4 linked regions of the Schizosaccharomyces pombe genome follow. The protein of the gene in region 3 purifies or fractionates together with the protein of the main gene of each other region. This does not show direct contact. Each region holds a gene or a part of one and is shown on either strand. Other genes may lie near its edges.

Evidence for each region.
Region 1: the proteins of tel2 (region 3) and tra1 purify together in Schizosaccharomyces pombe (affinity purification with mass spectrometry; 3 studies listed by BioGRID). This does not show direct contact.
Region 2: the proteins of tel2 (region 3) and tra2 purify together in Schizosaccharomyces pombe (affinity purification with mass spectrometry; 3 studies listed by BioGRID, with this or other methods). This does not show direct contact.
Region 4: the proteins of tel2 (region 3) and tti2 purify together in Schizosaccharomyces pombe (affinity purification with mass spectrometry; 5 studies listed by BioGRID, with this or other methods). This does not show direct contact.

The regions. Positions count from the first base shown.
Region 1 is NC_003423.3:1,902,395-1,907,295, forward strand, and holds the start of tra1 (SAGA complex, phosphatidylinositol pseudokinase subunit Tra1), read right to left. Parts: upstream 3,025-4,901; coding exon 1-3,024. Other genes in the region: ubiquitin-conjugating enzyme Ubc7, read left to right, coding at 3,405-3,593, 3,990-4,047, 4,097-4,350; ribosome biogenesis protein Yar1, read right to left, coding at 4,838-4,901. UniProt on the Schizosaccharomyces pombe protein: Essential scaffold subunit of the transcription coactivator SAGA complex. SAGA acts as a general cofactor required for essentially all RNA polymerase II transcription.
Region 2 is NC_003424.3:257,907-262,615, reverse strand, and holds the start of tra2 (phosphatidylinositol kinase-like protein Tra2), read right to left. Parts: upstream 3,006-4,709; 5' UTR 2,898-3,005; coding exon 2,834-2,897; intron 2,773-2,833; coding exon 1-2,772. Other genes in the region: plasma membrane potassium ion transmembrane transporter Trk2, read left to right, coding at 3,155-3,260, 3,301-3,455, 3,496-4,396, 4,432-4,709.
Region 3 is NC_003424.3:4,733,189-4,738,137, forward strand, and holds tel2 (TTT co-chaperone complex LRR repeat subunit Tel2), read left to right. Parts: upstream 1-1,632; 5' UTR 1,633-1,673; coding exon 1,674-4,280; 3' UTR 4,281-4,410; downstream 4,411-4,949. Other genes in the region: SPOM_SPAC458.02C (mRNP complex protein), read right to left, coding at 1-140, 238-411, 532-627; dli1 (meiotic dynein intermediate light chain Dli1/Dil1), read right to left, coding at 4,417-4,949. UniProt on the Schizosaccharomyces pombe protein: Component of the TORC1 and TORC2 complexes required for the regulation of the cellular respons to changes in available nutrients. Required for normal entry into S phase. Regulates activation of the DNA replication checkpoint.
Region 4 is NC_003423.3:3,898,367-3,902,073, reverse strand, and holds tti2 (protein Tti2), read right to left. Parts: upstream 2,139-3,707; 5' UTR 2,028-2,138; coding exon 1,953-2,027; exon of another isoform or gene 1,909-1,952; coding exon 904-1,908; exon of another isoform or gene 856-903; coding exon 532-855; downstream 1-531. Other genes in the region: SPOM_SPBC1604.16C (G-patch type RNA-binding protein), read right to left, coding at 1-442; cmp7 (ESCRT III complex subunit), read right to left, coding at 2,525-3,193, 3,255-3,656, 3,700-3,707. UniProt on the Schizosaccharomyces pombe protein: Component of the tel2-tti1-tti2 (TTT) complex that stabilizes protein levels of the phosphatidylinositol 3-kinase-related protein kinase (PIKK) family proteins.

The sequences.
Region 1 (4,901 bases), on a different chromosome or scaffold from region 3:
TAAAGATTTAAAAATGTTTGAGACAATAGATCTTTGCAGATAATAAGATTCATCTTTGTCAGGGCACAACCTACCATTAGAGACTTGCTGTAAGTTTTTATCCATGCGATCTACAACTGCTCGGCACATTGTATCAATAGATTCCCAAAAGTCTTCATCGGGCTTCGCAGACGCAAAGAGTAATAAATACGAATTCTTGACCATTTGAAATGCTTGCTTCTTTTCTTCTAAATCGGAATTTTGATTGTTTAAAACAGCACATGAAGACATTAAAAATTTGGAGTGCTCTAAGCTAAAATTCTGAGAGGAGCCTTGGAAAGAAAACTGGATTGAAGGAAAAATATTTTCATCTTGCAAAAAATCAAAGCCAAAGGTACCAAGATATATTTGTCTATTTCGACCACCCATTTTTCCTAATATTCTCACAGCACTTTGATGCAATTGATTATTGGATTGATTAAGGCGTGAATGATTCCACAGGCATATCAGCAAATCCGGCATAATTGAGTCCAATAAAGGATCCAAAAATTCTTGAGTAAGATTATCCAAGCAAAGTTCAAATATTCGAAGCCCTTGACTAGCTATTTCAGGGGGGCCTTTTAATGCAACAATCAATGGCTTCATTAAAAAATTCATATGAGGCAACAACACACTGAGTCTAATGGGTAAAGTCAAACAAAGTTCCGCATACAGCTCTTTTTGGGATGTAGACGTAACAGTAAAAATCAATCTGTTGAAACATTCTAGCATTACTTGGAGAAGTGGTAGTATTTCCTTGTAAAGAGAATCAAATTTTCCTCCACTGATATTTCTAAACAAAGCTTTCATTAAATAAACGTAATTTAAAGGTTCAACAGCATCAGTAGTCAATTCGAGGCTAGTTGAAATGATATAGGATATATGGGGACGCAGGACTTCTGCATTTTTTTCGGGAAAAACATTCACAGTCATAAAGGCCAACTTGAATAATCGCAATAAAACAGAAACCCGAGTGGATTGGCCAGACCCTATTTTAGCTAGATTGTCACAGCAAAAAGACAGCACGATGCCCGTGCAGTTGACAGAAGTAACTTCATTAGACATCCAAAATTGGAAAATATGCAATAAAGCAAGATTATCTACTAGACACTCAAATATATTCGGAAACTCGGATTCCAAAATTTCGACGAAAACAGATGGGTCCAAGTGTAAAAATAAAGTTGCTAACATTTCTAAGAGCTCCTTCTCTTCTAAGAGTTTAGAAGGGTTTGTGGTCAACGAAGAATCAAGTTGAGAGTATGCAAGATTTTTCGAGGACTTGAATACACCGGTTTTTTCATCTGTCTGGTAATAACTGAATCCCTTTAAACTTTCCACAAGTAATCTTCGAAACAGTAAAACTTCATTAGTTGAACTAAGATGTAACTTTTCAGACCATTCCTGAGCTGTAAAAATGGAACCGTTGGCAAGAGGAATATTTCGTTGCTTTAGTCCAAACAAAACAGGCTTAATACCTAATAAGGTGTTTTTAAAAAGAAATATGCAATCTTTTAGCTTATCCAAACCTGAAGGTTGGGCAGCTCCAGTAGGGTTCTCAAACATAGGAAGATCATGTTTATTTTCTTCTATTTTAATTTGCTTTAAGTCAGCATTTTCCTGTAAAGAATCTCTCAGCTTCATAAACTCGAAATTCAGAGAAGTCAATTTTCTTAAGAGACATAAAAGTATAGCAAATAGAAGTGATCGGCTAGTGGAAAAATCTTCTAGTGCAACAATTCTTTCAACCAAGTTTAAAATAAGCTTTGTAGCCATTGCCTGAATAGCTGAAGTATAAAAGTCGTCCATCAAAATACTGAAATAAAGAAGTATGACTTTGTAAATTTGTTGTGGACTTAATTCCATACGCACATAATGAAGCATATCTGCCAGCATGCTAAAAGCCATGGGTCGTAATGAATGCTGAGAAGTGATTCCAGAACCAACTAGAATTTTGGTATCAAGTAGTTGATCTACATACGGTAGAAACCCTCTCAAATAATCCGTCGATAAGACGTGCCTTGTAGCTACCAAAAGTTCTCTTCGAGTCTGATATAATTCGGAAGGACAGTCCATGAACAATTGCAAGGTACATATTGGGATCGAGCTTTCAAACTGTTTAAGAGCAGCACCAAAACTTCTCAATAAATAGGCGAGAAAAGAGAATGATTTAATTTGCGCAGAAATAAGGTCATTGTAAAGATGATTTCGACGCAAAGAAGGGACTACACCAATAAAAACCTCTTTTTGAGATTCTGCAAGTCGACGAGCTTCGGCTTGAGGTGGAGGACGAAGTGAGATAAATTGAAGTACAAGCGGAGCAAGTAAAGGAAGCATTTTCGGAATAAGATCTTTGTATGTTTGAAATAGGAGAAAGACGATAATGGGAAATTCAGCAGTGACCTTGAAACTCGAAGAAGCTTTTGGGATCATTTTTGGACCTGCATGTTCCATTCCAATTTCAGCAGGAGATGCAGAAGATGCAGCAGACATGGGATGAGAGGATGGAGTATTCGGAGCTGATCTAGGTGGGAAAGCTTCTGAAACAACTGTGGTCATGGATTTGTAGTTTTCAACGACAATGGATAAAAATTCCTGAACATGTCCCTTAGCAAGGCTACTGTGGTCCTTAAAAAGAAGGACAACAAGCTTCAATGCCAACACTGCCATCTCTTCATTATCATTAACGACTATACGAAGAAGCACGGCAAAAGTCCGATTAACGAATGCTTCAAAACCTTTATAGGATCCAGATTTCTTGAGCAATTCAAGCAATGCAATGCGTAAACGATGTGTAGCTGCTAACGATGAAAATACAGGACGTTCCTTTTCAAGCAAAGACAACGTGTCCTCCAAAAGAGGAATGAAAGTTTCAAAATTCGTCTTTTCAGTTACCAACACATCATCCAGTGCATCTCGAATTTCAATTGCTGTGTTTGCCTTTTGCTTCGAGTCTAATCCAACATCACAAAGCCGATTATGCCAATGTTCGCATTGTGATACATCCATCAGATGCTTGGATCTCTGCGCAAGCTCTTTTTTAAATTCCAATTGCACTCGGATACGTTTTCCTAAGTATTTAACAATTACTATTGGAATGTTGTGGGATAGAGCAAGCTGCATTTCTTTCCTCTAAATCACTTTATGAATTTTACATGTTTTCGCTATTTTAATTAACGGCCTTATTATTTTGTGCGGTAGAAGTTGCTAAAATGATGAACGAGATAAAAATAGCGAGTGATACCACAAAAGTTCGTTTAGCCTCAGCTGCATAATTTGTCGTAAACAAACCATTCATTCATTAATCTGTTCATTACCATTTTTAGGCTACCTTTTAGTCAGTGATCTTTAATATATCTTACCGATTAGTAAGTTAATTGATTTCCAAAATGAGTAAAGCTATGGCGTTGCGACGGTTAATGAAGGAGTATAAGGAGTTAACGGAGAATGGGCCTGATGGTATTACTGCAGGTCCATCGAATGAGGATGATTTCTTTACTTGGGATTGCCTAATTCAAGGCCCTGATGGAACTCCATTTGAAGGTGGGTTATACCCTGCTACCTTGAAATTTCCTTCCGTAAGTCCTTTACTATAAACCTGATGGAGACTGAACATGTGATTTAAGTTGTGGATAAGTATGATGTTTCGCATGTTTTATGTATCAACTACTTATTAAAAAATACGCGCTCTTTTTCATAAATTAACATTTGTTCAGCGTAAATAAAGAAAGTAACTCAATAATCCATTCGTTTAGAATGATCATTTAAGAGAAGTGCTTTTATTCATTAGTAATTGATGAATCCTTCGATTTATTGATGAGTAGGAAGAAATTTTATTTAAAAGATCTATCTAAGTTTTTTTTTGGGGGTTTGGTTTCTTTCTTTGAATCGCATGGCAGTACATCCGGGGTGTTCAAGCGCACGTTGATACGTGCTTAGTTTTATTTTTATTGGATTCTAACTTTTTTATGTAGGATTATCCTCTTGGCCCCCCTACTTTAAAGTTTGAGTGTGAATTTTTCCATCCAAATGGTATGCCAGATACTATTAATCCAAATTTCGAGACTAACCTTCATTTCAGTTTACAAAGATGGGACGGTTTGCATTTCCATCCTACATGCACCTGGTGACGATCCAAATATGTATGAGTCGTCTTCAGAACGTTGGTCTCCTGTTCAATCTGTTGAAAAAATACTGTTATCGGTAATGTCGATGTTGGCGGAACCAAACGATGAAAGTGGTGCTAACATCGATGCGTGCAAGATGTGGAGAGAAGATCGAGAAGAATATTGTCGTGTAGTTCGACGATTGGCTCGTAAAACCTTGGGATTATAACCATGAATTGTATATTTGATTAGATTGCCATGAATAACGAACCTGATAAAATCTAGAAATAAAGTTTTGTTCCATTTTTGAACGCAACCGGTAGGCTTTTCTCTTTCTATTCCAACGTATAACGCTACATAGGTTTAATTACAAGGTTTAAACAAAAATGAAAGCACTTTTCCAATTCAATTTCTATCTGTAAATGATGGAAGATAAACATTTTGTCTATTGAGATAATCCATCTTTTAATAAACATCACTTGAACTTTCTACACAGATACATGGCAACGTACATCGCTGAAAACGAATTATATTGAGAAAACATCTAGAAATTACACAGTAAAAAACTTAACAAAATATAAGAATAACCCCAAATTATGCTCCAAAAGAAAAAAAAAATGCATCAGGTGCATAAAAATATTAGCTTCCCACAACCTACAAAAGAAAGAGGTAAATTTTTTTACAAAATAAAAATCAGAAATTATCAAATAAAACGATCATATTCCATCTTCCAATTTTTCTTCATCACCAGTGTTTTCTTCACTACCTTTAGCAATCTCA
Region 2 (4,709 bases), 4.5 Mb from region 3:
TGTTAGTAGCGTCACTCTTATAAACATAGAGCTTTGAAATATTGCAAACATAAGTGAACGCTTGTTGCTTAACCTCCAGATCACTAGAAGGGCTAGAAAGCAAATTCACAGCCTCATCAACATATTGGGTGTAATGTAAAAGTTGTGGTTGTTTAACCCCTTTTATCGAAAGAAGTAAAGTAAAATCGTTATTCGGTTCCGGCGAATTCTTTAAACTCTGGACTCTATCAAGAAGCTTCCTATTTCTTCCACCAAGTTTACCAAGTATTTTCAAGGCAGTATGGCTGTGATTATAATTATAAGGAAGAGGTTGTAGATGACTCCATAAAGCATTCATTAGATCTTCTATGTAAGGAGCCATTATCGGATCCAAAAAATCAGGAGTGAGATTATCCAAGCATAATTCAAAGGTTCGTAATCCCTGACTAACTAATTCTTGACTGCTTTTTAAAGACATGACGAGAGGTCTCATTAGATAACTCATGTATGGTAATAAAAGACTAAGCCTTACAGGAATAGTAAGACAAAGTTCGGTAAAAAGGTCTTTCTCCTTCGGAGTACGGGCAGATATAAGCAATGAATTAAATGCCTCTAATAGAGCGTGCAACAAAGGCATTACTTCTTTATAAAGGCTTTCAAATCTTCCCCCACCAATTCCTCGGAACAACGCTCTTAATAGATAATAGTAGTTCAATGAATTAGCAGAATTGGGAGCCAACTTCATACATTTCACAATAATTTCAGATACATAAGGCCGAAGAACTGGCTCATTCTCTGTTGCAAACATTGAGACTGTAACGAAAGAAAGACGAAACAAACGCAACAAGACAGAACCATGCCTGATGTCAGAAGATCCGAGTTCCTCAATTCTGGAAAGCAGAAATCGAAGTAAAATATTTAAAAATTTTGATGATGTGCTCTCATTTGAAAGCAAAAACTGTGGAATGTGAAATAATGTGAGATTTTTTTTAAGTTGATCAAAAAAAGTAGGAAGGTTTGTTTCAAAAACTTTAAGAAATATAGATGGCTCGAGATGTATAAAAATGGTAGCAAATACTTCAAGACAATCTTTCTCGTCTTTGTTACGAGGAAGCGTAGATATAGCAGGGCGATCTAAACTTTCTTCTTCGCAGCAGAAAAAAGTTTCTAAATAGACTTGCTCAGGTCGAAAATATGAGAATCCTTTGCCAACCTCAAAAAAAAGCTTCTGAAACGTAACAGCTTCGAAAGGCTTGATATTCGTAAGGAATCCCGAAAATTGTTCACCTCCAATTTCTATGCATCGAGACTTGCATGTACGAAGCCCATACATAAGAGCCCGTAAGCCAAACATCAAGTTTTTAAAAAGAAATGATCCATCATTGACGGAAGTGCTAAATGAAGATAAATCCCTAGGAGAAGAACGCGTCGGTGACTTTGTCTCTTTAATTTCTTCTTCATACTTTTTCTTAAAAAACTGATCCAAACTATCATTAAGTTCCGAAAACTTATTTACAAAGCTATCAAAAATAGATAAAAGAAGAAATATAGCATCGGGGATGCTAGGAAGACTAATCATTCTGTCAACCATGTTTAAAATGAGCCGGGCACCCATAGTCTGTAACCCAATGCTAAGAGTCAAATCATGCATATTGGTCGAATAAATCATTATAGATTTTCTTATTTGCGTTTCGTTAAGTTCGTCACGTACATGATGAAGTAAGTCAGCTAATGTACTAAATGCCAAGGGACGTAACAGCTTTTGAGTACCAACTCCATTTCCTAATAATATATTTAAATCTAACAAAAAATCCAGCTTTTTGACAAAAAGAGATTTTAAGTTTGTTGACAGAATATGTCTCGTAGCAACCAGCAGTTCTTTACGGGCAAAACACATATCAAAAGGGCATCGCCTCAAAAGCTTTATTACAATGTCCGGTATTATATCCTTCTCAGAAAGTGTATTGGGATGAGTTCGTAAAATATAAGCCAAGAAAGATAAAGTCTTTACTTGAGCCATAAAAAAATTACGGTACTGATATTTATTCCTTATAAACTCAATAAAGTCAATGCTTGAATCTTTTTCAATCATTGCATATGAAGCGATGTCTATTGGAACATCAATTTGTACCATCTTAAGAAAACAGGGAATTATGGCTTGAACACCAGGGAAAGCAGCTTGACGATATGCTTGAAGAATCAAAACTATAATGACCGGACACTCTACATACACGCGGAAACTTTGAGAAGCCAGTTCCAAAGGTTGAGTAGAAATAGCTAAAGAATTGACACGCTGTTGGATGATTGAAGTTTCCGTAGACAGATAACTACCAAAAGCCAGGGTTGTATTTTCCTCTTCATTTGATTTTGGATTCTCGACAAATATTGAGGGAATTAAATAAGGAAGGTTTGTAGAAAGCTCAAGTACCAAGTCAAAAAAGGGTTGTGCAGTGCTTTCTATACAAAACTTAAAAGTTTTGAATATATCCATAATAACTTTTAAGCAAAAAACAGCGACTTCTTCATTATCTGCTTTAATCAAGCTAATGAACGAAAGCACACAAGACTGCGCATATTGTTTAAATTCATCACGGTGAGCGCAACTTTGTATTAAAGTCAATGCTTCGATCTTGAGTTCATTGACAGAAGAATTTCTATAAAGATTCACCTCTGTATTTCGTAAAAAATCCAAGAGTAGTGGAATTAATTCTGCATACAGCTGCGAGGCGTCTGAAGATATGCTAGAAACCTTAGTAATTAAAATTTTAGTTAGTTTGATTTTTTCTTCTATTTCTTAAAAAAAGTTAGTATAAAATAAAAAAATGAATCAAAATATCTACAAAAATTTATATACCTGTACTTTCAGCTTTCAGTAGCTCTATAGAGCTGCTGAGCGACTTTTCAAAACCGTCTTCCATAACAAAGTTCGGTCCATGCAGATACTTTTTAATAAATCTTTGAAACCAAACTTGATACACTACGAGATTTTGGACACAGCTGTAAAAAAGCACAGAACGATTACTGTCAGATGTTGTTTAGTTGTTGCTATGTTCAAGGTGAATCGTATAGTGAGGACGCAAAACTGCACTATTCAAGAAGCCACTGAAGCTATTTGAAATCGACGTGAGTGTAATTTTTATCAAATACAATATAATACTGCTTTATAAACTATGACATGTTTGTACGATATAGAAGGTTTTTAAGAAGGAAAATATTATACAGATTTTATCATGCAGTTATCGGGTTTTTCTACAAACGGTTCCGGTTCCTTGAATACCATTGTATGTGAAAAACTTCTTTTCAAGCCTAACTTTGTTCAAGATTCTTTTATAATAGGAATGACTATTTTATGTTCAGTAATATTGTATGGGTCGGGAAATTTGCGCTACATAGATGCTTTGTTGTTGGCTTCTGGTTCTTGTACTCAGACTGGCTTGCAGCCTGTGGACCTCACGCAGATATCCATTTACCAACAGGTATGCATATTTTTAAATAAATTTTTTAACTATTTTTTAGTTAACTATTCTCCTTTTTGGAGTTTTGAGTACACCAATTACTGTGAACCTGGGCTTGACTTTGTTTAAGCTGTACTTCTATAACAAGCGATATGACATGGTCATAACAAATAATAAACTTAGGATGACATATACTTATCACACTGTAAGAAGAAGGGATACTCCAGAGCCTTCCAAAGTTGGCAATCGAAAAATTCGGGTTTTGTTAGACCAGGGTAATCAAATGCACCGGCCAGTTGCCCCAGAGACTAAGGCTGAGGAAGCTGAACACCAAGAGAATGAAAAACATCACAGGCACCATTTTCGTCTAAGGAAATTTGCTAATGCAATCGATCGCCCAAGCTTCTTTCGCGGGAATACCATGCCCGCTCTCCCTAGTTATGCAGGTGTTAGAAATTCTCAAGAAAATGAAGACAGAACTGAAGCATTAAGTCCAGCTCTTGGGAAACGAAGAATGGCATCAATCGACAATGGATCTTTATCCGTTGTACAAAACAATGCTAGAAATAATCCTGTCGACTTTTACATTCCTAGTTCGTTTGAAGAATCATCTTTTCAAACAATTCCTGAGGATTTTGAGCCTCAAGTACATGACCACGAGAATCAAACACAACTGAACCATCATCTGGATAACAACAGTTCTATCTCTTCGCACAATCCTTCCCTAGAAACTGCAAATGATGGTAATCAGGAAACTGTTTCATCCTCAAACTCAAACTACAGCACAACAAGAGTTGACAATGATCCACATGTAGCATCTTATTCACCTCAAAATTCGAATTTTGATCATCAGGCTGCTGCAACTACTAACGATGCACATCAAAATGTAGTACGCGGCTCTGCAATTACCATTGCACCAACCCCTGTTCCCAGGCATAATCGCAGGCCTATATATTTTGCTGGTAAGTCATTCCGTGATTTTAATATTGACCTTTAGATGACACGAATGGAGCTGAGCAGGAAAAAGGTGCTCATCGACTTGATGGACGAGGTAGAAAACGTGGTAAATCATTTGCTGTTACACCTACACTTCACAGGAATGAGCGCTCAATGTCTGTCCTACCATTTCAATTAGCCAAATCATTTACATCTGCTCTTCCTCGAAGACTCACATTCAACCGTACTCACACGAAAGCTAGCACAATGAGTTTACCTTATTTATCGTACAATGCAACAGTGGGCAGAAATTCTGCATTTTATGCCTTAACTCCAGTG
Region 3 (4,949 bases):
ATTTCACGCAGGTATTTCTTCTCATCAACAATCTTTAAAGTTCCTGAGTCAACGGCGGCTTGAAGTTGTTTAACATGTTTATCAAGCTCCACTTCTGACTTGAAAGGAACAGTTTTTTTCATGGCAGTCAACTCCTTAACCTAAAAGTATGTCAGTAAACATTTTGTTTCTTTACCAAGCTCATAAAGTTTTCCAACACAAAACTTTAGTGCTTACATATATTAATGCAAAACATACCTTCTTTTTCAAAAGTTCATCTTGAGCCTTGACTTTGTTGATGAGAGTTTGCTTAGAAGAACGGATAGCTGCTTGAGCATTGCGAATATTGTCTAATTCAGCGCGAAGTTCTGCATTCTTCTCCTGCAATGAACCACCACCGCGAATGGCACCAAGCTTCTCCTTATGCTCATTCTAGTTGATTAGTTAAGATGCGAAAACTATATAAGAAACAAGTGATTTTTTGAAGCTTTCATAGTTATGAAAAAAAAAAAAAGCTTAGCCTTCAATATTCAAGAATTTAAAACTACTTACGAAACGCTTTTTCGCCTCGTTGATCTTAGCATCAAGCTCCTCCAAAGCCTCCTTGTGAAGAGCTTCATTAGGACGAACGGGTTTATGAGATGACATTTTTATTAAGGATTTTGTTGTTGGTGGTGGATAGTGGTGTGTGTTGAGTTGTCGTTTAACGAGTATATAACAAGGCAGATAAACTCCGTTTGTTTTGCTTCCCTAGAGTTTTCGTTCGCAGTGCTGTGAAGGAGACTACCTGTTTCTGAAATTTTTATAAATAGCTTTTTGTTGACGGTTATTCAGACATCGTGTGAAGAGCAGTCTAAGGAAAAGATTACGATAATACATGTTATGATATTTTTTTTTTATTTATTTAAATAAACTGGTAGTTTTTTGCACTCGTCCACGTATTATGTTTAATATTTCAATTTAAAAATCCTGAATTGTAAATTTAGTGACCTTTATTTGCAATGTGTTGACTTGAACGAAACAAGAAAAATTAATGCATTTTTTCTCACGGATTAGCTTACCGATTAGCGGAGCATTAACATTTAATTTGGGAGGTACACAAAAACAGTTTTAAACTAAAAGTTACTTGCTTTTTAAAAGCAAATAGAAATATTGCAACTAGTCTTATAAAGCAACAGGATACTTCACTTATAGAAAGCGAATTTGAAAGCATAACTATCCATTCTTTTGTTACAACTATTGCATATAAGCACAAAATGTCTTTAAGTTAAATTATACATAATATCCTTTTTCTGTCACGTAAATTGTAAGTTCCTATTCAATTTCAGGCTGTGAAAAGTCCGTGAAAATAATACATCGAAGAGCTTTACAGGTTTCACAGAATATCCCGATGCTACCCATGTAATTGTTGCATACACCATTCTCAGGAAGTTTAAGAGCACAATTTAAAAAACTATATGAATTGAGTTCAAATTACCTTTATAGAATGAAAAACAATTAATAGAATTTAAAGTAATTTACATGGACAACAAATTAAAAATAACTATATACTTTGTAAAGAGTTTTGGTGTTGTTTTAGCCAAGCAGCCTATAATCCTGCATATTGCTGATTGCTGACCGGTGAATTAATCCACCGAAGGTTACTGTCTTCTCAACACCCCAAAATAATTCGGTTATTTTTCAACTCCAAGGATATGAAATCCTTTGCTAGCGAACTATCCAAACCTATTCAAAAGCCGCGTTTAAAAGAAATCCTTAAAGAACTGCAGCATATAGGTGTTCCTTCTCCTTGCAATCTAAGATTATATCATGAGTTAATTAGTGTGATAGTGCCCACATTCTGGAATGGGAAAATTAATTCAGAAATAGATTTTCTCCTTGCAAAATGTTTTTCTACTCTTTTGGGCTTAAAACTGCTATGTGTTCGACTAGATAATTTTGTTCAAGAGGCTAATTTGCAAAACATTCATCTTGTTACAGTTTATCTTGAGCTACTGGAAAAAGCATTTGAATGTATAGACCTTGACGATAACTGTAAATTGATATGGGAATCTACTGTATTATCTGATCATCAAAAGCAATCTTTGTGGACTGAATTTATTTTTTTCTTGGGAAACTTTAAAATTACTAATTCAATGTCTGCTGCAATGCTTACCTTCAAGGTTTACGATGATTCAAAACGTTTGAAGGCTTCATCAATGGCCGACTACATTGGCGTTTTATCTTCAAAATTGGCTTGCATTATATCTAAACCTGCTGTTAAAACCCCAGAAATATATTCAAAGCTATTCCATTATTTATTACACTCATCCAATTTAAAGGCATTCATTAACCCATTGATTCCATTAACACAAAAATTTTGTGTTCAGCTACAAAAATTATTTGCAGATTTGACGGTCTCTGATCAAATGTTGTTTCTCAATCAACTTCTTCTTGAACATAATACCAAATATCCCACCAATTTTTCATATTCCACCGCAAGAGATGATCGTATAACAGGTTCATTGGCTACATTATTAAGGCTGAACTTTTCATCCACTCACTTCCTTCGATTAATTGAATTTTATTGGGGCGTCCCTACAAATTTAATAATTAAAAGGGTAGAAGTAGTTTGTTCGAGTATATCTTATAAGGAATCTGATAAAAAGGAGCTAGAAAAAACAGTGGACTCTCTGTTTAATATATGGTCAAATGCGCAATTTTTGAGGAGCTATACGCTGCTAGCTCAAGAGAGCTTAACAATATATTTATTACTATTTATTCCGAAACTTGAAGCAAAATATTTGAATAATCTTTCCAAATCCCTAATGTTCTCCAATGCAATATCTTGCCGTTTAGATAGTCTAGATGATGATATTCGAATGCATGGAATGATAATGGCCGAAGTAATCTCTACATATTCGGGTGTCAGCTTAAGTAACCCGTTAGCCTTTGACGTTCCAATAATGAAGACTACGAAAGCAAAAGTTCTCAAATCGTTGAGCTCACTCAAGGATGAATTTTTGCCTATTGAAATTTTGAATGACGAAAGTGTTATCGCAGAGACTTCGATAGAAAAGGAAGAGACGAATGTAACTCACTTGGAGAAGCCAGTGATTTCTAAAAACGATGACTTAATAAGGGGAGATGACTTGGAGCCTTACGATTTTCCTGATATTGACAGTGAGGACACGGACGACGATCCAACTGTCTCTAGATCCAAGACGCATTCTCCTGTGTACGTACAAGATTTGTGCAAAATGTTAAAAGACACAGAAAGTTTTGAGAAACAACGTGTTGCACTGGAAAACGCTTCTAAGTTAATAAAACGAAAGTCTGCTTTTGGAACCGAATTACGAGATCATGCAGATGAATTGTTACAAACGTTAATTTCCTTACAAAATCGATTTGACTTAATGAACTTTGATGAAATGCAAATGACTGCTATAGTGGAACTTCTGTTAACCTGTTTAGATATATGTGGTCCTGTTATTTGTACAAATTTATTTGTTAGTGACTATTCAATGCGCCAAAAAATACTTATCTTATCTTGTATTTCTTTAGCTGCTAGCAAATTCAACGATGATGATAATGAACGTCTTTTTCCCAGCCAGTTACTTCCAGGAAATTTACACGATCAGTTTTATTCACCCACTATTGAAAAGATTAGTGATGAATTAGAAAGGAAATTAGTTTTTCCGGTAATGAGTGAATGCAAGGATTATGCGGAGGGACCGAAATTCTTACAGACACGGTATATTTCAAAGCAGTCGGAAATCGAGTCGAAAAAGCCACTCCCAAAGGCCAATCGATTATCGCTTAAGGTAGATAAATCATTGTTCCTGCTCCTCACCAGTGGTTATATGCTGGCATCTAGGAAAACGGCTTTTATTGAGCCTTTGTTTTTAGTCTACTATCTTAAGACATTGGGTATTCTCTTTTTTGAAACTTTTACCTCAAAGATAGAAGGGGCAAACAGAATGCTCCGGGAATATGTTGACGTTTTAAATGAGGTCTGCCGACTTCGATCAGACACTCCAGAAGTTAATGAAGGGCTTTTGTTTAGTTTTTTGGCTATCTTAGAAATATCTTCTGGGCGTACTTTAGCTAATGAGTTTGGGAAGCATTTGCTCTTCTTTGAGGCGTATACTAAGTTTCTTTTTGAAAGCCCTGATCAAGGTGAGAAAGTTAAGTCACTCTCAGCAGCTGTTTTAATTCTATTTGAAAATAAACTTTCAGAATTCAGAACGCTCGCATTGGAAAAATTACTGGATGACTCAGCTCCTTTGGTTCCAGAGCGATTTGGATTAGCCGGACTTTAATAGTTCTTTATGGTCATGATTTAAAAGAAAAAAAATATTATTTATGAGGTTGAAATTTTGACAGAAACTCATTAATGCATTTTAATTAAATAATATGATTTTGTAATAATAATGAATGTCTTTAGGCCAATTACAATTATTGAATTAAGTCCTTCCACAAACTTGATTTTATGGAGGATTTATTTAATTTGTTTGAAGAATACGTTTTAATCTCGCTATACTTGTTCTGTAGTTCTTGCAAAAAAACTTGGTGCGATTTGTAGGGTATATCTCCATCCGATATTTTTGAGGAATGACAGTTCAACATCGATATACTCTTATCAAATAAACCAAGTAATAAACTTATGTCAAGAGTATCGTAAAAATTTTTAGCGGTTTGTTTAAAAAGGGCGATATTAAATTCATGATTGACACTCTGTATTTTAGAGATAGTGTCCCAACAAGGAGGTATAAACATAGTTTCTGATTGAATTGTTTGAGCATGAAAATCTCGAGGTTTAAACTTTTGAAACATAAAATTATACTTCATTAAAACGTTGAGATTATTCCAGCTTGTTGGGTCCGCTGAGATAGAAACAATTGAGGACGTTGGTACGGATAAAAGTGTCGTTCGCAAAAACTGTAAAATAAATTCCTGTGAATTATCGACTGAGGTATGCAAGCCTAAAG
Region 4 (3,707 bases), on a different chromosome or scaffold from region 3:
ATGCTCTAACCGGGGCACGACGACCCTGATTTTCCAAACCCAATCCAGCAGTATCTCCTTGGGGAGACCAACCATACTGAGAAAGAACTCGATAACCAAGGCTTTTTGGTTTTAATAAATGGGGTTGAAATTTGTTTGAAATATGTTGTGAAGAAAGAAGGTGAGTCATTGATTTAAAATGATTAATTTTTTTGCTATTTGGAATGTATATTTGACACACTTCACAAGCAAAACCAGCTTCGTCCCTCTTGCTGTTCATAGTATGCGAATTATCCCTATCATTTTCAAATAACGAATGATAAAATGCTTGTGCCGATCCTTTTTCAATAAAAGTGGCTTCGTCCAACGATTGTTCACTAGTGGCTTTTACGAATGAAACCCTACGACCATTTTTATAAAAACCATAAGAATTTGACAGCTCCATATTTCCTTTATTCTCCATTTTCCATCGTTTTTCGAATAACCATTGTTACCAATTTATCTAGGTTGAAGGTTGGTTAGTAATGAGGAGAGTCTTTCCTTATATGTACCTCAAAGTGGGATTTGCAGGGGTTCAAGCAGTGGCAATATTACATTGTAATCACCGAGTTGCTCAACAGTTATGTTCAATTTTATCAAAGTGAAGAGGTTTTGAAGCGCTTGTACAATTGCATTGTGATGCTCTTGTAAGTTACATCGCATATAATTTCTACTGCAAACCACTAGTGCCATTAATAACTCAACATGGTGTGCAGATATTCGATAACTGTAAATTTCCAATAGTTTTGTTAATATTTCTAAAAAAAAGGAGAGTGTCGATGGTATCTGTATGATTTGTGGGTTTTGTATTATACGACACAGTTCATCCAGAGTCAACTAAGTGCGATTAGTAAACTTTCAAATGTAACGAATTTAAATTATTACCGTTAGGTATGGTAAATAACTAACATTCATTTTGTCAGTTAAAACCATAATTTGAGAAAATGCGGCTTGAAGAATCAGGGGATAATCGAATGCAAACTGAAACACAGAATTAATACCGTTCAGCATAATAGAATTTAAATTTTCATTTTCTTCAGGATAAAGAGAAACTAGGGTTGCGAAGGAGGCATTTATAAGGGTAACACTCGTTTGAATTGTAAATCTTGGCGGTATGAAAGTATAGAATACGAGCAAATCGTCCTTCAAAATTTTTAGAATTCCAGTATATAAAAGAAATTCTCTTTCCGTAATTTTTAACAATCTGTTGACTAGCTCAATTCCTTGTAGTTTAATGTTTGGAGATAAATCATTCAATATTCGGAGTACAGATGGAATGATTCTGTGCCAACATACTTCAATGCTAGAAGAACTTTGCTGATCAATTATCCAAAAAATAAGGTGAGAAATGAGATAATTTTTTGTTTTCCACTTTGGCTCAAGAAGTGCTTTACTTTGATCACTGTGAAATTTGTCTGGTGGTAATTCAAATGCAACCGGTCTACCTTGATCTGTCAACCGTTCTTCTCTATGAAAAAGATTTATTTGATACTTTTCTAGAAGATATAATAAGAATTTTTGTCTAGGAACAGCGCTGAGGATTGAAGTTGAGAGGAATTCTGACAAATTGCGTACAAGTCCATTCTCGATTCCACTTAATGATATTAAAATAGCTAGGATTTCCCAATTGATCTCTTTAACAACATTTTCTATAAACTGTTCTTGAAAAATGCTTAATATCCGGTGAGCGCGCACAACATACGCTTCTTTAATCACTACATCAATCGATTCAGGGTCTGGATGAGTTAATAATTTAATATAAAAAATTGTCGCCGTACCCAGTAAAAACCAACTTTCAGTAGGGCTAATGAACTCTAATAATGGCCTCAAATCTTGTTCATGAACCAACGAGTCCACCTCTACCACCAATTTGTCCAAAAAGTCTATTTGCTATATTTGGTTAAAATTTGAAAATAGTGAATTAAAAACGGTACTTTTTCAAGAGCTTCTTTTTCATTTTTTGATTGTAGAGTATGCAATCGCCTAGCTAGCTCTTTGTAATATTGCATAGATATTGCCAATTTAAACTTCTATTAGATAATTATTAAGTCTAATGTTTTATTATTTGTTTGATTTGTAAACAAAGAATATTAACAGAATTGTAATGTCACTTAGTTATTAGAGAACTTAAATTCTATGAAAAAAGTATTTCATGTTAAGCTATGGTCATACACTAATAATATAAACTTATAGAGTATGTGATATACTGTAAGTTTCTAAGTCGTTGCCAAGAAATCAATTTAATAAATTAACAATTTACTAGTTTTTAAAGGTATAAAAAGCAAAATTTTTAGTAACTAACATCAATTCATTACACAGGTACTTTACCTTATCGCTTTAGCTATATAAGTTCTATTGAGTATATAAGCATTATTGTTTTTTATAGTTATTACCAAGAAAAATGTTTTTATAGTATTCATTTATTCTTTAGTATGTGCATAAATTATTAGTAAACCAAACCATTTCCCGTGAATTTAAGTGATCGTTAAAAAAGGACGTATATAAATTATTGCTCAACCAGCTCAGCTTGAATCTTCTCCGGTTTCGAAGTCTTTTTATCCGAGTCAGTATTAGTAAGGGTAAAAGTATCAGATGGTGTTTTTAGAGAAACATTGCCTAATGTAGACACGATATCTTCAACCTTCTGTTCTTCAGCTACCAAATCCTGCCATTCTTTTTCAACGGCTTCATCCTCTAAATCAATGTTTTGAGGATTGTAAGTTTGAATAGTTGCATCAATCTCTTCCGAACGAGCCAGTGTATCATTTACGTTTTCTAAGACATCTTCCACTTTTTCAGTTCCACCCATTTGAGCTAAAATTGCGTCTAGAGCTTCAGAGCCAGAAGACATTGCAATAAGCAAAATTTTGTTGTCAACCGCATTATCAATATTAGAAATTATAGTATCTAATTGCAGACGCGAAGAAACTTTCCTTTCCAAATCTTTAGACAAAATCTTTTTTCGACGTAAATAAGTTATTGCTATTGTTTTCTCTCCCTTTTTAACTGCTTGGTTTAGCACTTGTGAAAGTTGCTCCAATTCCTCGTTTAAAAATTCTGATCTTTGGGCGATGGATGCCCTAGCCTGTATCAGATCTGCAACAGACCCATCAATAGACTTATCAATTGAAGCTAATTGAGCATCAATTTGGCTGTTGGGTAAAAACTTGATTATCTATTCTCGTTAAAAAAACGGTATCGACAAATAGCTGAGAAAACATATAATCTGAACTTACCTTAGAATCAAATATTAAAACATGTTTTTGATAGCACATCCAATTAAGAAGGCATTCCATCTCATCCTTGTTTAATTTTCCTTCTTCCCAGTATAAGCTTCCAAAAGTATCTTGAAAAAAGTCCCAAGTATAAATTGCACTCGTATAGCTGCTGCACCGTCGCATTGCTTCATTGTGTACAAGGCAAGCAAGTTTCTCAATATTTTTTCGAATTACATACTGCCCACTCGGGGATCTATTTGACAATATGGATGAGGCTTGATTTTGAAACCCAAGTTTCTGAAAACTCCACCGTAGAATTGAAAAAATAGAAAAACCGTCTTCTCTTACTAAATTTCCTTTTTTACAATCGTTCAAAAAGTCTTGCTTACGAAGCCAAACCCCTTGCTGGATCCAGTAAGCCTATATGCTTATTAGCTTCAAAAAAAATGCTTAATTCACGTACCGCAACAG